4 linked regions of the Oryctolagus cuniculus genome follow. The protein of the gene in region 1 purifies or fractionates together with the protein of each later gene. This does not show direct contact. Links are inferred from orthologs where the notes say so. Each region holds a gene or a part of one and is shown on either strand. Other genes may lie near its edges.

Evidence for each region.
Region 2: the proteins of HDAC2 (region 1) and GTF2I purify together in Homo sapiens (affinity purification with western blotting; 4 studies listed by BioGRID, with this or other methods). This does not show direct contact. The link is inferred for Oryctolagus cuniculus from reciprocal best matches to the Homo sapiens genes HDAC2 and GTF2I.
Region 3: the proteins of HDAC2 (region 1) and SIN3A purify together in Homo sapiens (affinity purification with western blotting; 24 studies listed by BioGRID and IntAct, with this or other methods). This does not show direct contact. The link is inferred for Oryctolagus cuniculus from reciprocal best matches to the Homo sapiens genes HDAC2 and SIN3A.
Region 4: the proteins of HDAC2 (region 1) and EED purify together in Homo sapiens (affinity purification with mass spectrometry; 5 studies listed by BioGRID and IntAct, with this or other methods). This does not show direct contact. The link is inferred for Oryctolagus cuniculus from reciprocal best matches to the Homo sapiens genes HDAC2 and EED.

What each region holds. Positions count from the first base shown.
Region 1 is NC_091436.1:57,431,629-57,436,193, forward strand, and holds part of HDAC2 (histone deacetylase 2), read left to right. Parts: intron 1-2,250; coding exon 2,251-2,392; intron 2,393-4,565. UniProt on the Homo sapiens protein: Histone deacetylase that catalyzes the deacetylation of lysine residues on the N-terminal part of the core histones (H2A, H2B, H3 and H4).
Region 2 is NC_091450.1:49,806,320-49,811,411, reverse strand, and holds the start of GTF2I (general transcription factor II-I), read left to right. Parts: upstream 1-1,733; 5' UTR 1,734-1,873; intron 1,874-5,092. UniProt on the Homo sapiens protein: Interacts with the basal transcription machinery by coordinating the formation of a multiprotein complex at the C-FOS promoter, and linking specific signal responsive activator complexes.
Region 3 is NC_091443.1:108,521,109-108,526,281, forward strand, and holds the start of SIN3A (paired amphipathic helix protein Sin3a), read left to right. Parts: upstream 1-1,814; 5' UTR 1,815-1,837; intron 1,838-1,936; exon of another isoform or gene 1,937-1,961; intron 1,962-4,759; exon of another isoform or gene 4,760-5,101; intron 5,102-5,173. UniProt on the Homo sapiens protein: Acts as a transcriptional repressor. Corepressor for REST. Interacts with MXI1 to repress MYC responsive genes and antagonize MYC oncogenic activities. Also interacts with MXD1-MAX heterodimers to repress transcription by tethering SIN3A to DNA.
Region 4 is NC_091432.1:77,386,529-77,391,526, forward strand, and holds the start of EED (polycomb protein EED), read left to right. Parts: upstream 1-1,639; 5' UTR 1,640-2,424; coding exon 2,425-2,538; intron 2,539-4,998. UniProt on the Homo sapiens protein: Polycomb group (PcG) protein. Component of the PRC2/EED-EZH2 complex, which methylates 'Lys-9' and 'Lys-27' of histone H3, leading to transcriptional repression of the affected target gene.

The DNA of each region.
Region 1 (4,565 bases):
TTCAACTAAAGAAAAATGATGAAACCTTGTAAGTTTATGTTCTAAATGTTTAGCAAGTTTTTACTTGAAGACAAAAATTGGAAACCTGTGTTGAAGGAAATTTGTTTACTTATTGATCCTAGGTAACTGTGTACCTTTCTTATCTGTATGGGGCTCTTGTTCTTTACTAATGGATGTAAAATTATGCCTAAGTTGCTGTGTTGTGTTTAGATGTTATCCTTCACTGTTTGAACTCTCCTTCAAACTCTAAAGGCACTTAGGATTTTGGAGATTTACGAAGTTAGATATTTGTTAGCATCATCAGTTGTGATATCTTAGTAGATTATACTTTAGTTTGTACCAAATTAGTGTTTTCTCAATTTTGAAGACACTCTTCCTTGTAGTTACTCCACACTTATATCCATAGAAGCTAATTTTTCAGTAACTTGAAACGGTATTAACTCTTCAAATGAATAATAACTGAGTGGTGTCAATGTAACATTGTGTTAACTTACTGAGAACCAAGGAAAATCATTTGAAAGCATTTGGTGTGTTTTTTTAACTGCCTGTTGATATTGGATCCAGTGTCTTCAAAACTTTGAAACAAGGTCTTAACCCAAGTTAATATATCTAGACACAGTTGTTTGGTTATAAACATAATTTAATTGATTTGATGAAGAGGCTTATTTATCTCACATGAGCAATTCAAACTTTAATCAACAGCCTTTTTTTTTTTTAATTGGATGAAGAAATTCTGCTACAGTGAGATACACTTGTAAATTTTCTACTTCTGAATGTTGCTTCTGTGAATTGAGAATACTACTTTGAATAGTTAGTCTGGTAATGGTAGCTTATACTGTATGAGTTTAGCACAGCTTTGAAATGCTGCCTAATAAACAGGGTACATTGCCATCAATACTTCTCACTTCACTGTACTTTAAAAGGATAACATTTGAAGCACACCTCTTCCTTTATGTGGTTTTGACATGAGTGTGCATGGGTAATAAAATATGGTGATACAGGTGGCTCCTAAAGTGCATTCATGGCATAACTACTTTACTGGGATTTGTAGTGCTATAAGCACCAGTATGAACTTATGTGAGAGAGTACCACATATTGGTCTGTTGTCACTGCTATTCAGTTATAGGGTAAAAGAAGCTATAGGTATTAGTAAAGAAATGAGCATGATTATGTTTTACTGGTATCTTTTTTTTCTTTCTTTTTTTTTTTTTTTTTACAAAAATTAAAAGTTGAGCTTCAAGTAATTGTCATGGCACAAAATACTCTTGTTTTGATTTTTTTTTTCTTTCACTATTTGAAAAATTTGATACAGCTTCCTGCTAATACGTGCTGGGAGATAGCAGATGATGGCTTAAGTGCTTGGACACTTCTACAGACTTGAAAGACCCAGATGGAGTTCTGGGCTCCTGACTCTGTGGCCTGGCTTAACCCTGGCTATTAGAAGCACTTGGGGAGTAAACCCGTGGATGTGTCTATTTGTCTGCCTCTCTCTGCCTTTATCTATCTATCTATCTATCTATCTATCTATCTATCTATCTATCTATTTAAAAGAGTTACACAGAAAGAGGGAGAGACAGAGATCTTCCATCTGCTGACTCACTCCCCAGATGACCATGATGACCGAGGTTGGGCCAGCCTGAATCCAGGAGCCATGAATTTCTTCCTGGTCTCCTACGTGGGTACAGGGGCCCAAGCACTTGGGCCATCTTCTGCTGCTTTCCTAGGCCATTAGCAGGGAGCTGGTTTGTAAGTGGAGCAGCTGGGATTTGATCCCGCACCCACATGGGATGCTGATGACACCTGCAGTGGGTTAACCTGCTGTGCCACAACAGCTGTTCTCTGAATCGTTCCTTTAAAAAATAAATATGTAGAAACTATTCTTAGCTCAAATGGCAGTTGGCCAAATTTGGACTGCGGGCTATTTGCCAACCTCTGTTTAATAGTACTAGGGATTTACTAAAGAGATTTTAAAATTAAATTAACAGCATTGAGTAAGGTGTGGTCTTCAGTTAATATATAAAAATGTGCTTATGCATTTAAAACATATAAAATAGGACATATTCCATGGGTTCTAAGAGGGAATTTCAACGTTTAAGGTTCAAACTCTCAGGGAGTCTCTTAGGGTAGATATAAAATAAGAAAGAAATGAAACATTCTGGAATGTAAGAACCCAAAAATAAGTTTCCAGAATTCATGATGATTGTTCTCAACTTAGAACCTTAAAAAACAAACTTACGGTTTTATTTTCAGGTATCATCAGAGAGTCTTATATATTGATATAGATATTCATCATGGGGATGGTGTTGAAGAAGCTTTTTATACCACAGATCGTGTAATGACTGTATCATTCCATAAATATGGGGAATATTTTCCTGGCACCGGAGACTTGAGGGTAAGAGCAAATTCTGCTTGAATAAATGTAAGATATAACCTGTATCTGAACCAGTATTTTTCCTGAATCATTAATTTGAAGCATGCATGCAGAATTAAATCACTTTGTATACTCTACCATCTGCTAGAATTGACTTTGCTGACTATAATAAAAAATTTTAAAAAGGGGCAGACTTTGTGGCATAGCAGGTAAAGCTGCTGACTGCACTGCCAGCATGCCATGTGGGCATCAGTTTTTGTCCCAGCTACTCCACTTCTGATCCAGCTACCTGCTAATGGCCAGAGAAAGCAGTGGTGGATGGCCCATGTACATGGAACCCTGTACCCATGTGGGAGACGCAGTAGAAGCTCCTGGTTCCTGGCTTCAGGCCAGCCCAGCTCTTGCTGTTGCAGCCATCTGGGGAGTGAACCAGCAAATAGGAGATCTCTGTCTCTGTCTCTCTTTCTCTAAGCTCTGCCTTTTCAAATAAATAAATAAATCTTTATCCCCCAAAAAATATTAACAAAAACTTAAAGGACTTTTCTTTTGCTCAGCTATTTTATTTGAGTAAATATTATTGAACATCCATGGCACATGAAGCCCTTAGTATTCAATTTGAATCTTCAAAACTACCTAGTAGTAGCATACATTGCTTTTGATTGTAAAAGTTGTTGGAATAAAATAGACTGGGTGCTTTTAGATTCTTGCGCTTTCCTTTGTGATTGGTTTTGATTCAGTACCTCTAATTTTAATCTCTTTTCCTTAGCCTTCTGAAATTTGTAGTGTATGCCATTTGGGGAGAGAAAAAAAATACCAACATTTAGCACTTGCCTGCCTGTTACATTCTGTGCATTTATTTCTGTTTCTCTTTCTGTTACCTTTTTCCATTTGGTGCTCTTGTGTTTTATAAATGTGAAAAGCACTGCCAAATCCTTCTATACACTGCCCACAGTTGTTCTTCACTGGAGTTTTTTTTTATGTTTTTAACCAGACTGCATACAATATTGAAGTTTATTGAGAAATATAAGCAGCTGTTTTTAGTTCAGCCTGGATTGAGGTATTCCTCCTAAAATGACATTCAACATTAGTTCTAAACTGTTAGTTAAAATTTTATAAGCTTGAGGTCTGTCATACAGTTTGGCAACCAAAGTTTTAGAAAGAGTACCTTTCTTCTTCAGATGTGTGGCTTTTCTTTGCTTGACCACAAGGTGGTACTCTTTCAGTAAACTCTTGTATAAGAGAGGATAGTAAAAGCTTGCCTAATAGATAGAAGGAGGTCAGGTATTTAGATTGAGTCTAAATCATTTAACTTTTAAAATTATGGGTTTATAATTTCAGTTCCTTGCCAATTAGCTTATTCAACTTTTCCCTTAAACCATGTGGTTCTGTCTTATAAACTAATAATTTGCAAAGAGTGATCCCTAAACTAGCAAGACCAGTGATACAGGGAAGTTGTTAAATAGTCTCAGATATATTCTCAGATCCCAGAAACCCTTATTTTACCCACAGAAGTTTGAGAACTAGTGCCCAAAACCATTGGAGTTCATTTGTTTATGGGTGTTACATCCCATAGAAATAGAACAAGATACTTCTCGGCTTTAATGAAGCTTAAAAAAATAAATTAGTGTTTTTTGCATAGTAATCCTAATCGGTGTACAAAGAGGCAAGTGGAGACCTCTCAACTTCCAACAGCAGTAGATGTCACTATGGCCTCTTAATTACTGTGCTTGAAATTATGGAGAAGTACTGGCGAATGCTGTTTTATAAGGATTGAGAATGGCCAACAACATCTTTTCTTTACTTGAGACTTTATACTTGTATGAAATATCATTCCAAGATTAATATTTGTATATTTTAAATGCGTTCCCAGAATTTTTTTAAGATTTATTTATTTTGAAAGGCAGGAATAGAGAACGTGTACTTCCATCCACTGCCTCATTCCCCAGATGGCCACAATGGCCAGCACTGGGCCAGACTGAGCCAGGAGTCAGGAGCTTTTTCTGTGACTCCCACGCAGTTGCAGGGGTTCAAGCACTTGGGCCATCTTCCGCTTCTTTCCCATGCATATTAGCAGGGAGCTGTATTGGAAGTGGAGCAGCTGGGACTCAAATTTGGCACTGATGTAGTATGCCAGCACTGCAGACAGAGGCTTAACCTTCTACACCACACTGCTGCTCACCCTTCCCACCGCCCC
Region 2 (5,092 bases), on another chromosome or scaffold:
GGGGTCCCACCCCCCACCCCCTGTTCACCGAGAGTAAGGTCACGAGCTGTCTGAGACCACAGGCACCTAGCTTTGTTACAGTGCGATACAGTTACTCGGCCTTCCTACAAGTTACTGTTGCTGTCCGTAATTTGTAAACTGTGTCCCAGGCCTGTGCAGGCAGCGGACCCTCCGCAGCTGGTCAAGGCTGCAACTGTATCATTCTAATTAAACAAGCTCCCAAATGTCAATGCAATGCAAGTGAAAACAACAACAACAAGAACAACAACAAAAACCTCCCAAAGTTGCTCGTAAGGAATTGGTCGACAAAGGGCGAACCCCCCCGCGCAGACCCATGCGTCTGTGTGCGAGACCGTGGGGGTCGCATAATAAAAACACACAAGCCTCCTGTCCTCAGACAGGAGCTCTCAATTCTCCCCTTCGGGGAGCGAAATCCAACGTTTCCAGGAATTTTTTTTTAATGGGTGTGGCCTATGCTGGAAAGGAGACCCAGGGAGCGCCGATCCCCGAACCCAAAGGACGCGTTTTGTATTTTTTTTTTATTTTTTTGGACCTGCATCAAAGGCCGGGCAGTTCGGAAAGTTTTCTCTCCCGAGCCCACAAAGAGGCCGGGAGGCCGCGGGGAGCCGTGCGGCCGCCACCTAGCGAGCGGCGGCTGCGGGGGGCAGGGGGCGGCGGCGGCGAGGTTCAGGTGCGTTAGCGTCCAAGGCTTTGCAAACTTCTGCTGCCGGCCAACTGTGCAGGGCTCGCGGTCCGCCGAGATTCCCGGGCTGAAGAAGAACCAGCACCTGGGCGGGCGGGGCCGAGGCTCGGGTTAAATCCCTTCGCGGTTCCCAGAACAAAACGGGGCGCCGGGGGTGGGGTGGGGTGGTGGTGGTCTGCAAGTCCGGCCTTTTGCGCCCACTTGGCTTTTTCTTTCCAGACGTCGAGTGGCAGGCGGCAGGGTGGGCCAAGCCTGGGGAGGGAGAAAGACCGACCCGGGAGCCCCCTCCCCTAGCCTGTCCCGGGCTGGGCGGCTTCCGAAGCTAGCTTTGGGGACACCCACAGGAGTTCTTTGTGTCCCGCAGGGTGGTGCAGGGCGGAGGGCGATGGACTGGCCCGGGGATTCCCGGCCTTTGCCGCGTCCCCAGCTCGCCAATGTGCAGGGAATTTCGGGTGCCACAGTCCAGCGGGGGACTTGGAGCGCCGCCGAGGCCGGCTGGAGCCACCACCCGTCTCCATTTCCGCTCCTTCGCCCCCCCCCCCCAGCTCCCCTCCCCCACCCGGGCGGCCGCGCAGGCCCCAGGTGCAGCCATGTTCTTGCTCCCACCACCCGCGCCTCCATTGACAGTCCTCGCCGGAGAGGGCCGGGCGCCGCGCTAGCCTCGTCCTCCTGCTCCGGGCTCGGCGGCGCGCGGCTTCCTGGGAGTTGTAGTCCCCCGTCCCCGCCGCCGCGTTGGTGGGGAACCAATCAGGAACTACAACTCCCGCTGGGCGGTGCTGCGGGTGCGCACGCGCAGCGCGCCTTCGAGGAACAAAAAAAAAAAAAAAAAAAAAGAGGAGGAGGAGGGTGAGAGCGAAGCTCGGAGAGCAGAGAAAAAGGGGCCCACTGGTCGCCCCCCCGCCTCCCCGCACGCGCTCTCTAGCTGCGGCCGCCCGCCTGCCGCGGTCACCCCGGCCTCTCTCAGGGTTCCCCCGCGATCGGATCCAGGCGCTGCGCGAGGCCCTGCCGGGGCGGCCATGCGGCGGTGACAGGAGCGCGGCCGAGACGCAGCGGCCCCTCGCCCCCTCGCCGCCCGCCAGCTCGCCACAGCCGAGGCTGCTCCCCGGCGGCCCTCACTCGCTTCCCTTCGCACCCCCGGCCCCGGCGCTGCCTGGAGGCGGCTGCACTCGGGTGAGTCCCTTTGGTCTCAGCTCCCACTCCCGCCCCCAGCCCCGTCCTGCGGCCCCCGCCGCGGGTGCCATGGCGAGCTAGGCCTTTTATTCCAGACTGCCCCGCCGAGGGCCTGCGCAGGCAGCAGTCGGGGTGCTGCGGCCGGGCCTTTGAGGGGCGCCCTGCTCCCCCCCTCCCCCGCCGGCCCCGGTCGCGGGGGCGCGAGGCGGTGGGGGTGGGGCGGACGCGGTCGCGGGGGACGGCGGTTGCACGCGCGCGCCTGGGTGCGCGTGGGGGAGGGGCGCGCGCGCGCTCGCGCCGGCCGGCGTGTGGTGTATGAGTGGGGGCTGGGGGGAGGGGCGCACCGCCTGGCGTGTGCGGCCGCGCCGGCCTCCGGCGCGCTGATTGGCCGGCCGGGCGGAGCGGGGGCGCGCGTCGTGCCAGGCCCGAGCCGTGGGGTCGCGCTCGGCTGGTGTATCCGGGGCTCCTGCGCCGGGGCAGCAGACGCGCGCGATTGGCCCGCGGGCGCGGGGGGCGGGGCCGCGCTGCCTTGGTAACCGCGCGGGGGGGCGGGGTGCCGGCGCCGCCCCCCGGCCGGCTCCCAGGTGGAGCCCGTCGTGGGCTTTGTCCCGGGCCGGCCTGGCGCGCCCAGCCCCGCGGGGCCTGGGCTTTGGGGCTGGGGGAAATAAGACACAATGAGCGGAAGAGAAAACCTCGGCCTTGAGGCCATGCACGCCTGCAGGACGGGGCGGGGGCGGCTCGGGCCCTGTCTGGCCTGCCTCGCCTCCGGTTCTGAGCCCCTCTCGCTGGGGGTTCGGCGCTGGTCTGCGGCTGGGTGTGTTCCGAGGGCGAGGCTCGGGCCGGCGGGTGGCCTGTTGCCCCTCGCGGCCGTGCAGGAGGCCTGTACTGCGCGGGCCGCCTCGGGGCTCGGCCACCCCGTGGAGGGGGTGGGTGGACTCGGCTCACGCCGTCCGTGGGCTTATGGAGCTCTTTCCTGCCTTGTTCTCGTGTGGTCTGGTTGGAGGTGGCCGGTCGTCCTCGGTGCGCCTGGCACTTGTTGCCCTCCTCGGAGTCACCAGGCGCGTGCGCGCGTGCAGCCTCTGCGGTGCAGTGGGCAGGGCCCCGAACTTCTGAGCGGCGTCCTCGGGACCGGCCCGTGCGTCTGTTTTTCCGTGGTAGCCCGGCTGCGGTGGGGAAGGAGGCACGAGCCGGGGGACGCTGGGTGCGTAGCTTCTGCTTCCCGAACAGCGCATCATGGGGGCAGCACAGTGGGCTGGGCTGCACCCCAGGTTCTGATCCCGTGGGGCTGGGGCCTAGGAATCCGCATTTCTGGTTGTGAGGGTAGCTTTTCTTTTCATATGAGAAGTGGGTTTTAGGGGGCAGAGTCTGCACCCCAGCTGGTACCCTTGGCTGCAGCTCGGTGGATGGCATATTTATAGCCATTGGCAGTGGTAGGAAATTCAGGGATGTGTAGAAGTTTGCTTTTCGTTACTTTGAAACGACGTTAAATAGGACGGCTGCTGCAGTCGTCGGCTTGCGAGGGAAGGCTCTTTGGGCTAGCCACGATTACAAATTTAGAAGTTAAATCTGAGGTTTAAAAAAGCATCCTGGATGTAAGTGCAGACTAAAACTAGAAATCTAGTCTGGGGGCTGGCGCTGTGGCTCAGAAGGTTAAGCCTCAGCCTACAGCCCCGGTATCTCTTATGGGCCCCGGTTTGAGTCCTGGCTACTCCCCTTACGATCCACCTTTCTACTAGTGCGCCTGGGAAAGCTGTGGAAGATGGCCCACGTGGGAGACCCAGAAGAAGCTCCTGGCTCCAGCCTGGTCCAGTTCCAGCCAATTTGGAAGTGAACCAGCAGATGAAAGATCTCCCTCTGTGTCTCTCCTTCTCTCTGTTTCTCTGCTTTTTAAATAAATAAATAGATTAAAAAAAAAAAACTAGCCTTGTCTTTTTTTCCCTCCCACTCTGGTTCATTTGTTAATTAATTCATGGCACAGGCATTTGCCATGTTCTCTCTTAGCGATGCCTGAAGCATCACATACGCACCGTAGAGGCCAGGGTTTGGGAAATAGGGCGGGTACTTGGCACTTGGGCCTGGAGATAGGTTTGGTCAGGTGGGGCGTTCAGAGCAGCACCACGGCCACGCGTGCCCCCGACGGCTTGACTTCCTTTGCCTGCAAAGGCTTTGCATGAAAACATAGCCCTTGGACGTTATTTTTCTTGAGGGGCAAGTCTTAGAACTATTTTTAAATTTTTTTATTATAATGGATTTTATTCTGGGGAAAATAATTGTAAATTAGGTAGGAAGAATGAGGCTACTTTGTACAATTATGTTCTATCATTAGAAGTTTGTTTTTTGTTTTGTTTGAAAGAGAAAGAATGAGAGACAGATCTTGCGTGTGCAGAATCACTCTCCAGAGGCCACAGCAGCCAGGGCTGGGGCAGGCGGAAGCAGGGAGCCAGGAGCTCAGTCCGGGGCTCCCGCCTGGGTGGCAGGGGCCCAGGCCCTTGAGCCAGCATTGCTGCCCCCAGATGTTCATTACCAGGAGCCGGTGGTCGGCACTGCGGGTGGAGCAGAGCCCGTCCTCTAACCCATGCACTCTGATGGGATGTGGGCGTCCCAAGCAGCATTTCAGCTGCCACGCCAGATGCCCCCCCATCTTCTCTCACTTCTGCTGATCCATAATTGCATGATGTGTTCCAAAACAAAAAGTACAGAAGACAAGACCTCTGTTCTGGTGGTGTTACCCGGAGCTGAAGTGAAGCACTAAAAATGAAATGTTTAGCCTTTTCTCGCACCTGGTCACCAGCTGTCTGCATTGCCTTCCCCCTAATTCGTTTCTACTGTTGTGTCATTCTTTATTGGAAAACTTCTTTAGTCTGAGTTCAGTTTATTTGAAAGGCAGAGATGGAGGTCTTCCATCCACTTGTTCGTTTGCCCAGAATAGCCAGGGTTGGGCCAGCCTGAAGCCAGGAGCTGGGAACTCCCATCAGGGTCTCATTTAGGTGGCTCTGCAGGGAGCTAGAATGGAAAGTGGAGATGGGACTTGAACCCAGGCACTGGGGTGTGGGATGCTGGTGTCTTAACTGCTTGGCTAAATGCCTACTGTCTCTGCAAGATTACTTCTTTGTTTGAAAGGCAGTGAGCCAGGTTTCTATTCAGTGTTTCACTCCAAATGGCCAGGACTGGTCTAGGCTGACGGCAGAAGCCCCAGATGCCATCTGGGCTCCAGATGGG
Region 3 (5,173 bases), on another chromosome or scaffold:
TGCAGAAACAGCACGCGGGGTGGCCCCAGGCGGACCTGCCTTGGGTGCCTGGGTTGCACAAGTCATTCCACTTCTGAGCCTCCTTCCGCTCTGCTCACCTACAAACGAGGATGGCGAGCGGGGCATAGCACACAGGGCAAAATCAGGTCCCCTCCCAAAGAGAAAGGCTGTGCTGTGCGTGGCAACGCGCCGCCGGGGCTCAGAGCAGCCTGGGGCGTTCAGGGGTCCCCGCCGGGGTGGCACTCGGGGCAGTGAGTACGCTGTCCGGCTGCGGATCTGCTGTGTCAGTAACCTCACCCACGGCACACCACCTGCTGCCCAGAGCCTCCCAGGACCTGAGCCACATGCTGGCAGCACCGGGATCCTCCTCGCGGCCGGGGTCGCCGGGTCAGCCTCTTCCCCCAGGCAGGGACCCAGGGACCCAGCGAGAGCCAGGGGGCTCGCGGTGCAGGCCGGCGCCCGCTCTACCCTACCGTTTGCCTCATCTGACGCCGGCACAGCGCAGGAGCACACAGGGCTCATCTCCCGGCTCCCCCTCCTCTCCCCTCCGTGGTCTCCCCAAAGCTGCGGCTCCCCACCTGCCCTCTCTGCTTACAGCCCAGCTTCCCACGTGGACCCTGGGGCCGGGGCGGAGGGTGGGGGTGGCGGCTGGCAGCCTGTCCGCTCCATTTCCCACCCCGTTTCGTGGAGAGGCTCAGGCCCAGGTAGGGGAGACAGGAGCTCGTTTAAGCCTCCGACAACGGCCACGCGAAGCGCAGGGCCGAATTCCGCCAGCCCCGAGCTCCTCCGCCTCACCCCGCCGAGGGCCGCTGGCTCCATTTGCCGCCCACCGCCCACTCCAAATAGCCGCCCTCTCCCCTGAGTCTCTCCAACACTGCTCGCCTTTCTTGCTCGCACGCATCCCCTGGCCGTGCCCTGGTCTAGTGTGCCCCGCCTGAACTACCGGCCCACCGCACGGATCCCTCCGAGCCCCGACCAGCCGGTCTCCCTCGCTCACACCAGGCGCATCCGGCCTCTGCTGAACACAGACCTGCGGGGTGGCCCTGCCCCCTGGAAACTCTTTTCGGTTGGCAATGGAGACCAACAGAGCAAGGGCGGCAGGGCAGAGGCAGGGCAGGCGTCGCAGCACTGTAGCCACCAAACCCAGCGCCTCCCTCCCCTCACTGGGCACACCCCAGAGCCCACCGGCTGCTAGGGCGCTAAGCACCCGACCACACCGGCCTGGGCCTGCGACCGGCTTTTGGTCCAGCTAGGAGACGTCCCGCGGCTTGGGGCCACCTCTGCCACCCTGGTTTCCAGCATCGCAGTCCTCACGCTTTCCACCTGTCCCTTCGTGCCCTTTGCCCCTCCGCTTCTGCCCGGGGCAACCCCTAAGACCCACCTGGCTCGCCGCCGCCTCCACGCGGCTCCGCCGGCTTACCTGCAGCCGGCAGGGCTCTCCTGGGAGCGCCCGGGAGTCGGCCAGTCTGTGCGGGAGCACACTCCCGCCTCGCCTCGGCTCCTGCGGCAGCATCTCCACCGCGCCCGCACGCCCCAGGGCTGGGGTGACTCCCTCGCCGGGCTGCACGCAGGGCTTCCCGCCCGCACCCCTCGTCTCCAGGCGCCCAGCACGGCGGGCCGCCGTCCCGGAGCCCCGCCGCCCGGGACCCTCGAGGCGCCGCCGCGACGGCACCGGGGATCCTCCGCTCCGGGCTCGCCTAATTTATTTATTTGCACGGTTCCCGGAGGGAGGGGCGGGGCGAGCGCGGAGGCGGGCCCTCGGCCGTGACGCAGCGCCGCGGAGCCAATGGCCGGCGGGGGGCGTTCCCCATTCAGCACTCCTCGCCCGGCTCGGAAGGTATGTTAAACAGCTGCTTTCAATTCGGTGCCCCCGGCCCGCGTCCGGGGGGCGGCTCGCCGTGGCCGGCCCGACGCAGAGCGGGCGCGCAGGCCCCGGGGCGGCTCGGAGTCCCGCGGCCGAGGTAGGCGAGGGGCCGGCCCGGAGGGAGGGCGCTCGGCGCCGCCCGCCCGCCCGCCACTGTGTCTCCCGGCCGGGCCGAGCCGTGGGGAGGGGGCGCCAGCGCCGGCCGCGCCGCCTAGTGTTGCCGAGCACTCGGTGTCGGTAGGTTTCGGCGGCGGATTGGGGAGCGGCGAGCCGGAGGAGTCTCCGGCTCCGCTCACGCCTTTTTTTTTTTTTTTAAGAAAAACACACGAAAAGCAGCAAAAAAAAAAAAAAAAAAAAAGGTGGGTGGGGGGCCCTGCGCGCCGACCGGACGCGCTCCGGCAGGCGGGGGGCGGCGGCCGGCCCGGAGTTCCCTCCGCGCGGACTTGCCGGGCGGGCCGGGCTCGCGGCTTCCCTGCGCGCGCAAACTTGCACGAGGGGCGCGGGCGCCCCCGGCCCGGGGCCGCCGCCCTCGCCCCCCGCCGCCTCGCCGCCCGGAGCGGCCGTGAAGGTCGGAACCTGGGGAACTGTCTCCACGCTCGCTCGGGAAGAGGAAACGCATCAGCGGGCGGGAGGCGGGGCGCAGGCGCCGGGCGGGGGCGCGGGCCCGGCCGGCCGGCCGGCCGGCCGGCCTCCGGCCGCGGCCCAGACTGTTTACTACCGACTCCGCCGGCGGCTTGTGCAAGCGGCCCGCAGGGGACACGCGGGGCGGGGCGCCGCCTCGCCGCCCGCCGCCCCGGGCTCCTTGCGGGCCCCGCCTGCTCTTGTCTTCCATTGGCTGCTCGGGACTCCCTCTTTCGCTTCTCGGGCACGGATTGGCTGACATTATCTCGAGCTCCGCCTATAGGGAGGCCGGGCAGGAGTTTAAGTTGCTAGGGTTTTTTTTTTTTTTTTTCCGTGAAGGGCGGAGGGGGGGGCGTCCTGCGGCTACGTGAGGCGCGAGGGCCCGCCCCCGCTCCTGATTGGCTGCGCGCGCGGCCCCGCCCCCGGCGGAGCGAGCCGGGAGGGGAAGTCCGCCCTCGGCCGCGAGCGCGCCCCGCACATGTGTGAGGCCGCCGCGCTGCTCGCGTGCCTCCCGCCCGGAAGTCCCGGCTCCGCGCCCCGCGGGGGGAGGGGGTGGCGAAGGCGCGCTGGGCTGCCCGGCATCCCGCGGCCGGCGGCTTCCGGGTGGCGCTGGGGGCTCTGCGGGCGAGGGTCTGTCCGTCGGGCCGGGGCCGCGCTCTGAAGTTCGGGCCCGGCGGCGTGGCTGTTTCCGCGCGAGAGCGCTGCGGACGCCGGCAGCCGCTGCCCTCGGCGGGCCGGGAGGGGACCCCGGCGCGGGGTCGGGGCGCGGCGCGCGGGGCTGGGCCCGAGCTGCGCCCCCGCCGGGGGGTCGGCTCCCCGCAGTTCCCAGCTCGCAGCCGGCACTCACCTGTTGCCGGAGCTCGCTCCGAGGCTGCGGAGGGAGGGCGGTGTTGGGGTCCCCTCTGCGGGCGAGAGCGGGAAGCCCCGAGCCCCGCCCCCCAAGCAAGGCCACCGGCGGGCCCATGCCCTGTGTGCCGGCACCTGGTCTCGGTGCAGCTTAGCCTTCACGGAGCGGACCTAGGGACTGCCAGGAGCCCACGGTGGCCGAGGTGGACGCCGGCCGCGCCGGCCTCACCGCACGGGGAAGCCCCCGCCCAGAGGGGTCTGACCGCACGCGGGACCCCGGCCCAGAAGGTGTCTCTGCACGCGGGACCCCGGCCCAGAGGGGTCTGACCGCACGCGGGACCCCGGCCCAGAGGGGTCTCTGACCGCACGCGGGACCCCGGCCCAGAGGTGGCCTCTGACCGCACGCGGGACCCCGGCCCAGAGGTGGTCTCTGGCCGCACGCGGGACCCCGGCCCAGAGGGGTCTCTACCGCACGCGGGAGTCCGGCCCAGAGGGGTCTCTGACCGCACGCGGGACCCCGGCCCAGAGGTGGTCTCTGGCCGCACGCGGTACCCCGGCCCAGAAGGTGTCTCTGCACGCGGGAGTCCGGCCCAGAGGGGTCTCTGACCGCACGCGGGACCCCGGCCCAGAAGGTGTCTCTGCACGCGGGACCCCGGCCCAGAGGGGTCTGACCGCACGAGGCACCCCCGCCCACTCCGGTCCCTTCCTCGGTTCCTCCGCTGGCTCTGCCCCCGAGGCGGCCAGGGCGGTGGCCGTCGGGCCGCTTTCAGGGCTGCCCGTTCCGGTCGGGTTTGTGGGCGCAGCTCTGCCCCGGCCGCTGCTAGGCGGCGGCGTGCGACCGCCAGGCCGGAGGCTGAGGTTCGCGGTGAGGGGCGCCCGGGCCCCGGCGCTGCCCCCGGAACTCCGAGCTCGTCTCGGTGTCAACATTCCACCAAAGGACGGCGGGGCGGAATCGCCGGGGGCGGGCCCGGCGCGGCTGTGAGGTGGGAGGCGCCTGCGTCCCGCACGGACACTGTGCCCCACAGCGGCTGCCTTCCTGGGGCGCCGAGAGCCGGAGGTAGCCTTCCGAAACGCTGACCGGCGGAGGCGGGAGCCGACCTGCTCGGCCTGTGGCTGAGACGGCGCGGGGCGGGCCGTGCGGTGTCCTCCAATGAGACGAGAAGAGCTCCCCCGCTTCCGCCAATGGTGTTGCGGCTGGGGGGAGGGACTCGGCAATCCGTCTCCAATAGGCGGGGTTGAGTTAGGGAAGCTCCCCGCCAATAGGGGCGTGGAGAGGGTGAGCGGCTCCCCCTCCCTTCCCCACCGAGAGGGAAGGGGCGGGAAGTCGGCGGGCGGGGCGCAGTAATTGGCTGGCCTTTTGACTGGCGGGCGATGCGTCCTGTGGAGGAGCGAAGCCGAGTCCTCCCTCTGCTGGGCGGGCCGGGGGAGTGGGCGGGATTTCCCGGGTAACAGAGAAGCGGCCGCGGCGGTAGAGGCGGCGGAGACGGTTTCTCCATCTCCCCCTCCCCTTCCCCCCACAGAGTTTCCCTCCTTCCCTCCCTCCCTCCCTCCCAGTCTGGGCAGCCGGGCCTGTGACCGCCTCGGTAGCGGAGCGCAGGCTGCCAGTCCGCTTCGGCGGCCTCTGCCCCGTGCGGCTCTCGGGGCCTCCTGAGCCCGCGGCTCACGCCGAGAGGGACGCGCAGTGACGAGCGGCCCTAGCAGCTTCGCGGTGAGAGCCGGTGGGCCGAGCTCCGGCGGGAACCCGGGCGGCGGGCAGCGCCGGGCCGGAGGGTGTGTATTGGGGGGGCTGACCCCCGCGGCTTCCCGTAGAGCGGGAGGCGTGTGGCTGTGCGAGCGGTGGGG
Region 4 (4,998 bases), on another chromosome or scaffold:
TCAAAATTAAGTTTTCTACTTTCATTTTATTTGAAAGGCAGAGAGACAGATACAGACACACACACACACACACACACACACACATACAGAGAGAGAGAGAGAGAGAGAGAGGATCTTCTACCCACTGGTTCACCCTCCAAATACCCACAATAGCCAGGGCTAGGCCAGGCCAACAGCAGCAACTCTTTGATTTTAAATCCCCACTTGTATTTGTTGTGTTTGGAGGAGCTGAGCCCAATTTCTCTCCCCTACAATCTTGGTCTCTTTCAAAATAGTCCTGAAGGAAGTATCAGAATAATTTATCTTTAACATTAGTTATAATGAATATGAACTAATTTCCATCATTCATCCATCCCAAACGTATCAGAACATATAAAAAATCCCTCCTAGTTTTAATAAGACTCTTTAAAAACATTTTTGCTTTGTTACAGATAACATGAGTGCTGAATATCTTTGGGTTATTTTCTTTTCATGTACCCTTTATCCAAATGGTCAGCACTTACTCCATGTTATGACTAGAAGCTGACTCCCACATCCCACTGGACCCACGCAGCAATCTGAAATGTGTTAGCTGATTATCCGTTCCTTGTAGAGTTATATTTCACAAACAGCTTTCTCAATAAAACAGAGTATCTGTCTTTGCCCAAAAAGGTGTCACACTGAAGCACATCTTACCTTTCTCATAGCTGACTCATCTGTCACATCTCTCCCCCACACCTGAGGAGTGCTTAGCAGTGCCTGGCACATTGAGAGTGTTCCACAAATACTGCAATTAGTAAGACCTGGACTTTTTCAGCGTCCATATTTTTCCTGAATCTTTATTGTAAATATGTCTTACTCTGCCCTCTCTTTGCTTCACTTTCCTTTTTTCATTCTCAACCAAGAATTCTCTGCTAACTTCAAAAGGAGGAATGACTTGCAATCTGCAGAGAGTAAAACAGATCTTCTCACTGTCAAATCATCTTGCAGAAGTAATTCAAGTATACTACAATTTTATGGCTGCGACACTAGACTGGTTATCCCTTGTGTCTTACGACGAGATCCAAAAGAGAAAACATATCAGGCAGGTGCTCAAGGTATGCTGGGTTCCTTCTCACTTCCACGCATTTACAGATGAGGACACTGAGGTCCAGAAATACCAGCACTCACAACTGTGTTCTAAAACAAAGGAGGCTGCGTTTCCTTCAGTTGTACGGCTTGATGACCCATCTGACAAATCAACAAGACTCACCAATGTATTCTGCACCTGTCAAGAGTGCAGATGTAAGTAACAGAAACTATTTTGGTGAAGTACTAAAATTGTATTGTTATTTGCCTGTCGCTTAAGTCTCACGGGTTCATAGTTGGAACTATCCACCGATTTATAGGCCTTTGAGTTTTTCAGGGCCTTGTTTAAAAAGAGCACTTGAGTTGTAGCTGTTCAAGGGTCTGTAATTTTAGCACACTTCTACTTAAACCTTAGCCAATATTGGCCACAACCGGTTGAGGTTAAAAAAATTATTGCAATAAATATTCATCAGACCAAACATCCGTCAAGAATTTAGGGTGCGTCCTGAGACGATGATTGGTAGCGCTTTGAAATCCATCCCTGGCTATGCACACGCAGTAGAAAACTACCAGGTTCAGCAAACAAGATTTCGAAAAGAGGAGGGGCCTGGAGGAGGAGGGACCCCCACAACCCAGCGCGAGAATACGCCTCGGCGCGTGCGCACCTCCAGGTGGGTGCCTTCCATTTGCCAGATGGGGGAAGCAAGTGCGACTCAGTCTACGGTTTTTAAATTCCCATCCTCAAGCAAAAGTTACGTTGGCATAATCTCGTGAATCTCGTGAAGTCGTCACCTCCCGAGTTCAGGTTTAAAGACTCTTGGCACGCAGAGCTTAAGCAAGAGGTGACTTAGCAAAGCTTCCCCCGTCCCCTGGGACACCGGTGGTCTACTCCATCCACAGACTTTCGCTCCCTTTGCAGCGAGTCGGAGATCGAAGGATTGGGCCAATTGCGGCTGAAACGTCTCTGGAAGGAGGAAGGGGGTGACGGAGCATCCCTTTTGAGTTCTGCCTGTTCTTTTCGAGGTGGTGGTGGGGACGGGAGACATACGAAATACTACCCTCTTAAGCCAACGGATCCTACATCTCCGTGCAAACTGCCGGGGGGGCGGCGGGAAAAGGGCAAAACGGGAGTCGGGAAAGGGAAGGAGCCAGAAAGCCGCGCAGGAGGGCGCGCGCGCGCGCCCCTTTTTCAGCAGTGTGGCGGGGTCGCACGCACGCCCGCCTCGGCGGCTGGGCGCGATTTGCGACACTGGGGGGAGCGGTGGAGGTGGCGGCGGCAGTGGCAACTTTGCGGCAAGCTCCGGACGGGCTTGCTTGACGGCGGTGTGGCGGAGGCCCCGCCCGAGGCGGCAGGAACCTGGGGGGAGGCGGAGGAATATGTCCGAGAGGGAAGTGTCGACAGCGCCGGCGGGAACAGACATGCCTGCGGCCAAGAAGCAGAAGCTGAGCAGCGACGAGAACAGCAACCCGGACCTCTCTGGAGACGAAAATGTGAGTGCGGCCCGGAGCAGCCACGGGACTCTGCGGAGTGGGAGTTTTTAGATTCTTTAAAAACTGCGGGTGCGGGATGGGGGGGCCGGCGCTGGGGCGGGGAGGGGGTAGAGCGAGAGGTGTCACCCCGTGCCCGGGATGGGGAGGGCGTGCGGGCGAAGTCGAACCTGTGTCTGGCGGGGATTTTGAGCCGCGGCCGAGAGCAGGCAGAAAGTTGGCCAAGGAGAGTGGCTTAAGTGAGAGCATGGGTCCGAGAGCTCTCCTCTGCCTGTGGGGAAGTGTTCGGGCCTTTGGGAGATAGAGGGAAGAGTGCGGGTCTGAGATTCCAGTAGTTTAAAAGGCGTGCTAGATTTTCTTTTTTTTTTTTCCCTAAGAGTGGGAAGGAGCGGGCAGTCGAGAACTCTTTCAAAGGAGTTCGGGCACTGTGTCGCTCTGACCCCTGTAGAATCTTCAGGATGCAAAGGGTAGATCTTTGAGTTAATGGAGTTTGAATGAGTGTTTAAGAGCGCCTGGTGTCTGCTCCCGTCCTGTGCGAATCCAATAATGAGAATCTAAAAAAAAAAAAAAATCTTGAACGTGTTTTAGAAAGCTGGTGCGAGCATTTCTCAGTTTGGCCTGCTTTAGGAATAAATGTTGTATCTCACACACGCTGTCCTTAAATTCCCCAGCGTGAATGCCTACTGAAGCGTGTTTATGGCATGGTGTCATGACCAGGATTTTCACGGAAACGGTGGGGGAAAGATTGCTTTCTGCAGAGAAGAAAGATTTCTTGGAGATTGTCAGCTTATGGGGTTTTGCACTTAAAATTTCTGGAAAGTTTGTCTGATATTACTTTAAATATATCTATATGTATATTTCTGTTTGTTCTCCCCAGTCTCACTACATAATTGGGTCTAACATTTTTTATCTTCATTCCAAGTCTTGAAGACCAAGTTTTATTTCTTCGTTTTCGTAAAATTCTGTCGGCAGATTAGGCTGCAGTTAGGAGCACAGACGCTGGATCCACATGTTAGGTTAAAATCCCCACTCTAACTGGTTGCTTGACCTTAAGCAAAGTATGTGACCTAGCTGCCTCAGTTTCTCATCTTTAAAATGGGTATAGAAGCTTTTTTTTTTAACTTTATGAGTTATTGTATTAAATGACGTAATATAGGTAAAGTGCTTAGAGGAGTACCTGCCCTATATCAAGTATTAAGCAAGTGTTATTTGTTTATAGTACTTATTTTGTGATCACCATAGTATGTTTCTTCTGGCTATTTCACATACTGACGAATCAAAATATGAAAATGTTAAATCTATTTAGGAGAATTTCAGGAGAAGAAGTCAATTGAAATCTTATTTTCTTTTTGCAGACCCTTAAGGAGAAATGCCAGTGTTCTTTGTTTCATTCTAAAGCTATTCAGATCCAAATGATTGGATTAGCCTTTGTTTGGGTTGCTCCATTTGGCTAGAAACTGTATGTGCCTTGGACCTTTTAATGAATCTTACGGAGCCTTCTCAGAATAACATTTTTAAATATATAAAATACAATATCTAAAGTTAGAATTTTGAAATTGTAAAGTGTGGCATAAAATATTTCTAAAATAAATTTTAAGTGTAGTAATATTAGCACTTTAAATAACAGGAACTAGCAACAGATCTGGTGGCAGTGATGAGTATAAGCAAGTTTTTCAATATCTGTAACCAATATAATGTGATTTCAAAATACCTGATTTCCATTGGTGAAAAAAATCATGTAACATTAGCACATATATTGTTTGTATTATATAATAAAAGGAAGTGCTAAATTTCAGTTAAGAGCTGTGAAAGTTAAAATGCAGTTTTTTGTGTGTGTGTTTTTATTTGAATTCACAGGCCCTCTCAATTCCATAAGGACTCATGATCTAGGACATAGTTAGGGAAGTCAGTAAGGGAAGGGGTAGAGAATATTGTACAAAAACTGAATTCAGAAAGAACTCACAGCTCTTGAGGGAGGTGAATAATGACAAAAGACCAAAAATAGGTGTGGGAAAAATGTGTTTTTGAGTTCAAGTTAAGACAGCTTGAGCAGTTCCTATTGTTAAAGTGAGTCACAGAATTGAAAGAACTTTTTTAAAGTTTATTGTGTATGTCATCTGCCATTTTCTCAAACTTATAAAGATCCTATTGACAGCAGAGTAGATAGCTTCAGGCTGAGTACTAATGGTTGCCGTGGTTAAAAGAGAAAAGTGAAGGCTGAGTCTAGAGACTTGTCTTTTTGCTTAAGTAACTTGTGCCAAGATTAAAGGACAAATTAGTGGTAACTCCCTGTCTGTTTCCTTGTTGGGCAAATGAAGACGGTAGGGTCATCTGCATCTTACAGGAGGAGGTAGGGTGAAAGCCAGCCTGTGAGACACTGGCATGGATTTGATTTTAAGTTCTTGATAAAATGAAAGTGTTAGGTTTCCATTTGATTGCATCTTGATTCACCTTTGGAGAACG